Linked DNA regions of Kluyveromyces lactis. The protein of the gene in region 1 purifies or fractionates together with the protein of each later gene. This does not show direct contact. Links are inferred from orthologs where the notes say so. Each region holds a gene or a part of one and is shown in the gene's direction. Other genes may lie near its edges.

Region 1 (5,870 bases):
AATAAAATCAGAGAAGGACAATATATCAATAAGAGTGGGCCTTGGGTTCAAAAACTTTAATGTTTGCAAAGGTGCCTTTTTCTCCTTTAATTGTCTCAAGGTAGAAGGAATCGGAAGAATTTCACGCAAATGGCAGCATCTGGTGTAGACAACATCTAACATCAACTCATTGCCATTCTCATCCTGTGTACCGCTAGTCGAAGATGGATTGGCTCCATGCTCGGAGCCAGTTCCATTACTAGAACCCGAAGATTCTTTGAAATGATGTTCATGCATATGTATAGGTTTATCAATCTCCAAAGACTTAATCTTTTCATCTGCCACAACCCCCGCTTCAGCATTTGCTTCATCGTCGGTGGCTGCTCCAGATTTTGGCACAGTACCATTGGCAGAAGGCTTTAGGTCTGTCGAAGTAGAAGGTTTTAATTTGAAACCGGCAACTTCGGAGGCAATTCTTTGAGCCGCATAATGTGCTTCTTGCTGATGTTTCTCCGATTCCTTAAGACATTTTTTATGATTTTCCAAGGCAAGTTGGTATTCTTTAGAATCTTTTGTGTAAGCAGATGCTGGTAGAGCACCATGCTGATCATTCCCATGTGAGGAAGGTTGGGCTGTCGTTGTAATACCTTGAGATATAGAAGGGATATCACTGATCATGTCGTTTGGAACAAGAACGTTACCCAGTTTTGGCTTTCTCGAAGGAATTTGTTGAGGAGGGTCCATACCAAATTCATCGACTGCAAAAGTAACTCTTTTCAAATTAATCTCGGTCAATTCTTTGATAGGCAGTGGATGCTTCGATTTATTTGGATTTTTGTTCAACACGACACGATCGTGTTGAATTGGCGCCATATCCTTAACTTCCGGAGAGTTTGGTTCCTTAAGGAACTGGGATATTTGTTGTCTATGAGACGCAAATTGCGAGATGTTGATAGGAATAGGTATTCCTCTGGAGGAAGAAGAAGAAGAAGAAGAAGAAGCCGGAGCAGCTGTGGTCGAAGCCTGCGTTGGCGAGGACGATGACGATGCTGTCGACGCAGAATGGCCCGACGCAGAAGAGGAAGAAGTCACCGGAGCTGGAACCGAAGATGATGTGGATGAAACGTTTGTATGGGACTCCAGCGGTTGCAGCGGTTTCCTATTGAACAAAGAACCGAACAACGATTTCTTTGGTTTTTCGCCCAGCGAGCTGCTCCTCCGAAGGACAGCAGATGATGGTTTCAAAGAGCGACCAGACGTATTTGGAGAGTTAGCTGCAGTCTGGCTCAGACTCGCTTGCGAGTGTGAGCTTGACCGATTACGAGTCTTTGCCGCGGGAGTTGGAGTTTGAGCAGGTTCTGAACTTGCAGAGTTCTCTGGTCCAGCACCGTCAGTGCCAGCCCCTGGTGTTGCTTCTGCAACACCAGCAGACCCAGGAGCAGGAGTAGGAACAGAAGTGGAAGCAGGAGCAGGAGCAGAGGGAGTAGCCGGTGGAGCTGAAGAGGAGTCCAATCTCCTATTCGCTCTGACCTTCTTCTTCCCCTTATATAACCAATCCACTTCGACGTCAAGATCCAACGAATTCGGCATGTAGACTGACACTCCTGATATAGTCTGTTGAGAAACAAAAAATTGGGCAGTAACGGGATTAGTTCTGGTATTATATTGGGCTAGTTGACCGTTCCATTTCCAAGAAAAAAAAAGTGAGCTTTAATTCTAAGCTCTTAGAATAAATACAATATATACTTAACATTCAATATTACAATTATAATTATCACCAAATAGTAAAGATACAATATAAGATTCAGAAAAACTAAGTGGATTCTCAAAATAGTTACAAAGTGGGCAGGGCAGAACCGCCATAGAGAGAGAAATTATTATTAATGTAAGAAAAGTAACGCACCCGTACAATTGGCCGCAGCAGATCGAGATCCATGCATCAACTGACGTATTTTAGAAGAGTGAAACAAGGAAGATAGATGGAAGGCTCATCGTATTATGTCTGGAAAATGTATTAAAATTGAGCGAAATAAAGCATGGGAGGGAAATAGGATTACGAATAAAAACAGAAAAGACAAACATATAAGTAGTATATGTAAAAGAAACAATTGATGGCAGTTAGGATCGAATGAGGGTTCGAACTGGCGACGACTGCGAAAAAAATATGTCAATAATGAATCACCGAAGACCACTAGTAAACGGAAACAAGAGATCTTCGTCCGCAGCACTGCATTCGACGGTCTCCCATACAACACCCACACACCTCACCATATCAGCTTGCGGGGAGAGTCCCTCCCCCCACTATCCTTCTGTAATTATCCCCCGCTTGACCTCCGTCCGTTGCCGGTGTGGGCCGCCGGCCGCGCCGCCTTTTCCACAATTTTCAACTTTCAATATTTTTTTCCCTGGCACTGGTTTCGGGACGACCAAAGGGAAGAGAAGGCTCGTTCTTACCGTGGTAATTAATATCCACGGAATTTGTTCACACGACTCGGGAGACTAAACCAGGGTAACCATCAAAACTAAAAAAATTGTGAAAGGAGTCAGTCAAACTTTTGTAAACTGGGTGGCATGAAGAAAAGAGCGCACAGCATAATGTCAACATATGTCATACTGCCATCATCATCATTCAAATCCAATTAAAATCCGAATCCGATTTGGAATTGTATTTCGGTCACTTGTTTTGCACTGCTCTTTCTTCCCTTTCTTCCTATAGCAAATAGTTCATGATAATGATATCCTTGCAACACGCCGGCTCCTTATCAAGACTTACACCACCCTGTAGCATTGGATAAAGATTCTTACATAAGACAATACGAAACCGCTGTTAACGCTTGTATCCTCTGCTGCTTTGTCTTTTCTCCCCGTATCTTCTTTGTTCCTTCTCATTGTTTTTTTCTTTTTACACTTTTTCCCAGTTTACCACGCTTATGGAATATTTTGTATTAGAAATTTAAACTTCGACGCCTGGAATTTTGGATTTTTAAGAGTTTTATTATATATATATAAGAGTCATTTATTGTGTATATAATATGCATCACTGTAATTTTATAGCAAGAGCGAAGATCTTCAATAATCCAGATATTGAATCAAGGTTTAGTAGTTCAGGATAACAGATCAACATTCAAAACACATACACATAATTAAAAATGTTTAGAGGACAAATGTTTGCAGTACAGAGGATGGGAAGTGCACTAATGCACGGCGGTGGAGGCGGAACTAGAATAATCGGTGTAGCAGCTGCTAGAGCAACTGCTCCTACCGTCGGCTCTAGTCCTTCCATGGCCTCTGCTAGATTTTACCATCCAAAGGTCATTGATCATTATACAAACCCAAGAAATGTTGGGTCTCTAGACAAGAATTTGCCAAATGTTGGAACGGGTCTTGTCGGTGCCCCAGCTTGTGGTGATGTGATGAAATTGCAAATCCAAGTTAACGACGAAACAGGAGTGATAGAAAACGTTAAGTTCAAGACGTTCGGGTGCGGGTCTGCCATCGCTTCTTCTTCATACATGACCGAATTGGTCCGTGGGAAAACCTTGGAAGATGCAGCAAAGATTAAAAATACAGAAATCGCCAGAGAATTGAGTTTACCTCCGGTTAAATTGCATTGTTCTATGTTGGCTGAAGATGCCATCAAGGCTGCCATCAAGGATTACCAGGCTAAGAGACCTACAACACAGTTGAAATAGAGTGTTAGAGTTAAGAGTTAAATTAATTAGTTAATCTCTAATTTTCTTATTGCTTCTCCGGCTCAAACTTTCATTTGTCCATTGAATGGACTTTAGCATACTCGTCTTTCCCTTAATTCTTTTGGTTTGACTTACGATTTTCCCTCGCATTTTAACTCCACTACAAAGTTAAATCGAACACTATATTTTTCCGAATATATCATACAGTTTCTGAAAGCTATCTAGGAGAGCTAAATTCCAAGATTAGGTACTTCCATTTATCGTGCCTTATCAACTGCCCATGATTCGTAATTTTTTTTTTTTTTTGGCTACCCTTTTTTTTACAACAGTTGTTATCTAGTGTATAACTAACATGTAGGTTCATTCATCATTTGTATTATAATCATCCAGACTGTTCCGACAAGCGTTTCAACTAGTTGCAGAGTTGAGCGGACCGTCTCTCTGTATCCTGGATTCTTCGGACTTCTAAGGGATGGCAAATTGATTAGCGTTACCCGAAGTTGTTTCTTTTACCCGGACACATATTTTTTTCATGGGCAAGAAAAATCTTGAAAAATTTCGTTGTAACTCATCGCCTGAAGGAACAACTGAGAGACAGACAATCATATACATGTGATGCGCTTTCGATTCGGCTCACTGTAGATAGTCTCATATCAGCAGTGAAATTATTAGTTTGAAACCTTTCATACCCACTACAGACTCTCCGATAAGTTCCCTTCTTTTTCGTCTCTCATTTGTGTTCCTACTGGCCCACCGACTTTAATAACTAGAACCAACACAACAGTACTCTCATTTACCAACACACGTCATGTCATCGGCACTATTTGATGACGTTTTCACCGTTCAAGAAGTGGACACAGGAAGATACAACAAGGTCTCTCGTATTGAAGCTCAATCGACTTCACAAGAATCCTGTAAGTTAACATTGGATATCAACAGTGAATTGTTCCCAATAAAGACTCAAGATCAACTTGCAGTCATGATCACAACTTCTCTCCAACTTGACGGATCGGAGGAACCTCAGGGTACCTCTTGGAGAGCACCACCTGCTGGAACCAGATCTCTTGCAGATGATTATGACTATGTCATGTACGGAACTGCCTACAAATTCGAAGAAGTTAAGGGTAACAAGGATTTGCTTGCAGTATACTATTCATTTGGTGGCTTGTTGATGAGACTTGAGGGAAATTATAGACTTTTGAACAACTTGAAACAAGAAAACGCTTACTTATTGTGTCGTAAGTAAGAAATCTTGTGGGTACTATATATCATAGTCAAAATAGAAAACCGACAACTGTATAATAGACTTTCAGGTCAAAGCTCTGGTTCTTCACTCCTCCGGAAGCTACGGCCTTTACTTACACCTCTCCTCATATATTAATGCATTTTTAACTTTCCATCTTAGCTTCCTATCTTCAAACTGTTCTTACTTCCAGTCACCACAGCATAACGAAGTTGCTCTTTCTTTTGCTCGAGGATTCTTCAATTCTGTGCTTCTTTGTATAAGAGGAGATACCATAGAAACTGTTAAAGCCGTCTTTTTTCTCGAAAATAGAAAAGTTAGGATCCAATGACCTCAATAAATAGGGTTCGGCCATTGCCAGTTGATGGCAAAATATTCGAGACGGGCGTTGAAGGAGCATATTAGCAGTAGATATATAAATATAGAAGAAGGTCTATTTTGTTAGGTTACCCATATACAGGGGTTATTAGTGTTCAATCCATATTTTTTTTGATTCTTTGGCGATAGGCAAGGGTGCATTATTCAGTCAAGTTGAATGTCAGAGATAATAGACATGGTAGAAACTGATACGGATATACCGGTTCAGAAGTCTGATCCAATTAATGACGAAGAGTTCCCGGACTCTACAGATTCCAATATCCGTTATGCAGCCTATGCGAGCAGATTGAGAACTATCGCTTTAACAGCACATAGATATGTCGCGTACACTTCCGATATTGGTGAATCATTTAGACCGGTTTTTCCACAAGCTGTCGTTAAACTAGGATACGGTATTTCGTGGCTGTATATCCTTGGTGATGTGTCGTACATAACATACCGTGCGAAGTTGAAGCAAGAAGGTTACCAGCTACCTTCAGGCTGGAAACCATGGGACGAGTTGTCCGAGAACAATAAGGTATTGAAAAGTAACGTCTCCCCAGATTGGAAAATGGTAGGATTGGAACGTTTAATCTTCC
Region 2 (4,742 bases), on another chromosome or scaffold:
TAGGAATCCAAATATTATCAGAACAGTGGACCAGATGATATTATTCTTGATCGTTTGCCTGATGGCAGGCCATACCAGTACTAGGAAGGCTACTATTAGTGGCGGGAACGGCAAACCTAACCTCTTTTGGAATTGGATACTGTTGGATAGGTTGTCCTTGGAAAGAATTTGCAAATACCTTTCATAGATATGCGCTCTGATTCTGTTGAATTTGATAATATATGCGTGCTTGATCCAATCCACTATCAATTCACTTCCAATTACTGTGACAATCGGCCCTATAAATATACCAACTATCAAGGACTGTGTAGAATGAACATTCCATGAGTGTGGTAAAACATCGCGCAAGCTCTTTCTTGCTACGATAAAGTTTCTCACTGCAATGACCGTTAGAAATACGATCAACTGGAATCTTTCCACGACGTCAGCCATAGTCAATTGGAACAATCCTTCTTTATCAATTCTCTTGAAAACTGCAGATTTTAACTCTGAAAACTGCATTGACAACAGTAGCGTCCATAAGGAGTTAGAATACGAGTTTACCGCAACGTTCATGGCAAGAATCTGGTAGATGTATATCAACGCGTGGAAACTTAAACATAAACAACATGCAATATATAGCATTACCATCTCTGTCTTATGTTTGGCACTCTTCTTGAGCATGATAATTGAATATAGATCAAGGCCAACACTTGATAAGAGCTTTTCTGTCATCTCAAGAACCTGAAATATCATGTATAGTTTAATAGCATTTTGGCCCTTAATTTTATGATATATTCTTGAGGTGTCAAGGACATTCAATATCGAACAGGGTCCAAGAATCATCGCAGTAGTAAGAAGCTCTTGTCGTATTCTTTTAGGACCATCTCGTTTCACCACTAATACATGGAATACCCTAAGTGGTATAATGGTAAAGTAATACAAGAAGCAGTTCAAACAAGTCAATATCGCAAAGACAAAGAATTGCTCGACTTGGAATGGTACCCTCAGTATGTTCGCAATCTGCTCCAGATCATATTCAACAGACTTCTCACTCTGATCACATGGTTCCTCTTCGAATACCTTGGCTGTTTGGGGAAGAATCTCCTGGTATATAAAGTTCTTTATCGATGATGACACCGTATTCACGTCTTGTTCAACCGATACCCTTCTCCCAGCACCAGAACTGCTTTCCTTAGACCTCGCCTTTCGCCTTTTGAGGTGGGCTTCAGAATCCTGTGAACTCATTTGTTGAGGCACAACTGACCGGTTAGTGCTAAGGACCTTACTTCGTCATGGATATTTCTTTCTTCTGTTGTTGTTGTCTGCTCGAATTCGATCTACATTGAATTAAAATAAAGTCCTTGCTTAAATCACATCGAAGGGTTGATAGTGCCAAAGTAAAGAAGGTAAACTTAAGAAAAGCACATGAATAAGGGACCTCATACAGCTGCTTGACCAACTACGACCGTGAAATAATTTACCAAAATAATTAGACTATAGCAATGGCTACCATTGAAGAAATCAAAGAGGTTGTATTAAAACCCTATACAAACCATCGACAATTGACCATAAGGGAAGTGGAAACTATAAGTATCAATTTAATAGACTTATTGATTACAAAAGACGTGAAAGATGCAAGGACGATGAAATACATTTCAAGGTTCCTTACCAAACAGGATTATGCGGATCTAGTCCAAGAAAGGAACTTGGTGAAGCGTTGTGGATATCCACTCTGTAGCAAAAGCCAGGCGAGAGTACGTGATCCCTTCGCAGATGTACAGATGACCAATTTCTTAAGACAAAATAACCCATATGCATACCTTACAGAATACTGTACTAAGGCTCATTTTAGATGTTCACAGTTTTACCAGTTTCAGCTCTCAGACGAGGCTTTGTTTGCTAGGGTCGGTGTACATCTTGACGATTATGAGCCACCTAGTGAGATACAATTGCTCGAAGAAGTACTAGCTAGAGAGTCTGATGTTAAGCAGATGATTCGTGGTATGACTGATTTGAAACTCGCGGACGATGATAGTAGAGAGGAAATGGAAAGGGATATCAGTGACATGTTAGCTGATATTAAGATCGTAGAGATCAACGAGCCAAATATCATTGGAGATTTAGGACGAGATAGATGAAATGACAGAATGATGACAAGTACAAACATATTTGAGGTAGAGCATTTTGACTCTATAACTCAAAATATATGGACAATCCTGCATTATATAGTCATACATAAAATAGTTTTATTTACGATTTAACTTTCACTAATTGATCTGGTCTAAGGAACCTCCATTTAACAAGCAAAGCACCTAAATTTTTCTCTTCGGTAAATGGGTTTGTCGTTGGTAACTCTGCTTTCAAGCCCAAGAATCGTTCAAGCCTTTTTTTATAAAGTCTTTGGTTCAGTTGTTTATAATATTCATATTGTTTTCCGTCAATTAAGTGATCTCTACTTTCGGTGAATTTACGCTGTGTATTAGCATTTATCCGGTTGAGAATGTCCATATCTTCGAGGATTGGTTTTATCCAGTCGATGAACACTGCAGGGATGTCATTGGACTTACCACTCTTTATCTGTGTCACGACGTCATTGAATTTTCGTGAACATGGTTGTTTGTGAATCAATGTATATTCCCATTGTGCTTCTTGAAATGCATAGAAAAGTTTGGATTCACACTCCCTAAATCTATCGAGATTATCTTGAGCTCTAAGCCGTGCCTTAATTATGATTCCTGTCAATTTCTTAGACTGGCGTGCCTTCCTATTGAATGGAGATCGTATGAACCAAATTCGGGATTGGCCAGCGTTGGTGTAGTTAATAGAAACTTTAGGGGGGCCCTTGGCAATGCGGTACTCAATCCTGTACAAAATTTTACAGTATCTCTCGTGGATTGCAAGAGGTCTGAGTAGCTCGTCGATATGTTTACGAGGTATCGTTTTAGTCGGACCATATATTTTATAATATCTAAGAAGGTAGCGGTATAAATCACCATCACCAGGAATAGGTGCTAATCGCTTCTTTTTTTCCCTTCGACTCTCATCCCCCATATTTTCAGTTACCACCACACCAGAAATTGGTTTGTTCGCTTGCTGCAACGGTTCTGGAGCAGGCTCGATCTGCTCTGTGTATTTGTTCTTTAGAGCAACTAGCTTGATTATATCATCGCCGACAATATACTTATTCAGATGAGAGAGATCCTCCAATAATCCACGTACGTACCAGCCAGCTTTATGATTTCTGTTACGTCGTACTGCTTGTCTCAATGTGTTCCAAAGCTCAATCTGGAGATTATCAGTGGGTACGTTGGCCCTAATGTTTCGTAATGAATATCTGTACCATTCCAATACGTGTTTCCTATGACTTCCTATCTCTCCAAATGGTCGTACCATTGATATAATTCTGCTTTGTAGAGCTTCATCAATTTGATAAGATTGAGTAGGATGTACCTTGAATTCTTCCTGTTTTCAACTACTCATCTATTCATGTCATCGCATCTCATCTCATCTTGACAATAGTCATAAACTTTGAAAACATACAGATCAGCGTGCTATACATGCTTCGTATGGTGCCGTGTGAGACGTCATTTTACAGCAAAGTGGTTTCGTGGTCTAGTCGGTTATGGCATCTGCTTAACACGCAGAACGTCCCCAGTTCGATCCTGGGCGAAATCATTTTCTTTTTAATTTTTTTTTTTTGCCTCCTGTGTACTTTAAGCAACAAATCAGCAACAAATTCTACTACCAAGCTACACACAATATTGTTTGATTTGTAAACATTGTGGTTGCCAAGTTTCGGTTGAATGACTAGTAGAGCATTATCTCTATCCTCGAACTCCTTTTCTCATTTTATCACTTCTAAAGTCTCTTTATGTTCCATAATGATGCAAAACCATAACAATCTCCGCTATATTCAAAGTAACAGTGAGGAAGAAAACGACAATTATCTAAATCAGTTGTGGTACGTGATTATTCATGACACTCACTATAAATCATCCGAGCTACGCGATTACTGTTTCTAGTATTTCTCCAGCCCTGTTGCGTGCTGATCACTTCAGAGAACAGTCAAACTCCCAAAATTTGACCTAAATGGCTTCGTGGTCTAGAGGTATGATTTCCGCTTAGGGTGCGGGAGGTCCCGGGTTCGATTCCCGGCGGAGCCCCTGTGTGTTAAACACTTTTTATTTTTTTTTAATTTAATCAATTAATTGGTTTTTGGGCTTCGCGAAGCCCAAAATCAAAAACATTCGGAACCTCCCGCGTGCGCACGCGCACGCGCTTGCTGTTGACCAATCGCACTTTAAAGTGCGATTGTCAACACACGCATTTCGTGCGAAAAGACCAACCAACATACCACGCGATCCATGCTTCACAACTTTTACCAATGTCCCACTGACGAAAGGAAAAAAAGGGGAAACCCAGCGAACCCATGTCCCTATGTCTCGCTTCATGTCCCTTCCCCGATTAATTCTTATCAAGGAGCCGACAAGGATGGCTGAAATGTCTAAATTTTGAAATATGAATACTAATTTAAAAAAAAAAGAAGCTAAAGCTTGTAAGCAAAGCGAGAATCTTTCACTGGATTACAGAGATATGATGGGGAAACATACTCCGTGCGGGCTGCAAAGAGTGAATAGGGTAAAAAAAAAGAACTCAATTCAACGGAGTTGAGTTCGAACTTTAAAAATTTGACCATTAGCCCCTGTGATCCAATAGCATGTAGCGTGTAAACTCCGTAGGATAATGGTCTAATGGTTTTC

Evidence for each region. Proteins that work in one complex are often made in the same cells at the same time.
Region 2: the proteins of RPB8 (region 1) and RTR1 purify together in Saccharomyces cerevisiae (affinity purification with mass spectrometry; 3 studies listed by BioGRID). This does not show direct contact. The link is inferred for Kluyveromyces lactis from reciprocal best matches to the Saccharomyces cerevisiae genes RPB8 and RTR1.

The regions. Positions count from the first base shown.
Region 1 is NC_006040.1:610,149-616,018, reverse strand, and holds RPB8 (DNA-directed RNA polymerase core subunit RPB8), read left to right. Parts: upstream 1-4,479; coding exon 4,480-4,917; downstream 4,918-5,870. Other genes in the region: HER1 (Her1p), read right to left, coding at 1-1,569; putative iron-binding protein ISU2, read left to right, coding at 3,129-3,671; KLLA0_D07117g (mitochondrial fission process 1 family protein), read left to right, coding at 5,450-5,870. UniProt on the Saccharomyces cerevisiae protein: DNA-dependent RNA polymerases catalyze the transcription. of DNA into RNA using the four ribonucleoside triphosphates as substrates.
Region 2 is NC_006042.1:1,172,580-1,177,321, forward strand, and holds RTR1 (RNA polymerase II subunit B1 CTD phosphatase RTR1), read left to right. Parts: upstream 1-1,484; coding exon 1,485-2,120; downstream 2,121-4,742. Other genes in the region: EMP65 (Emp65p), read right to left, coding at 1-1,227; RRG1 (Rrg1p), read right to left, coding at 2,233-3,375. UniProt on the Saccharomyces cerevisiae protein: RNA polymerase II subunit B1 C-terminal domain (CTD) phosphatase that dephosphorylates 'Ser-5' of the CTD and regulates RNA polymerase II during the transition from 'Ser-5' to 'Ser-2' phosphorylation.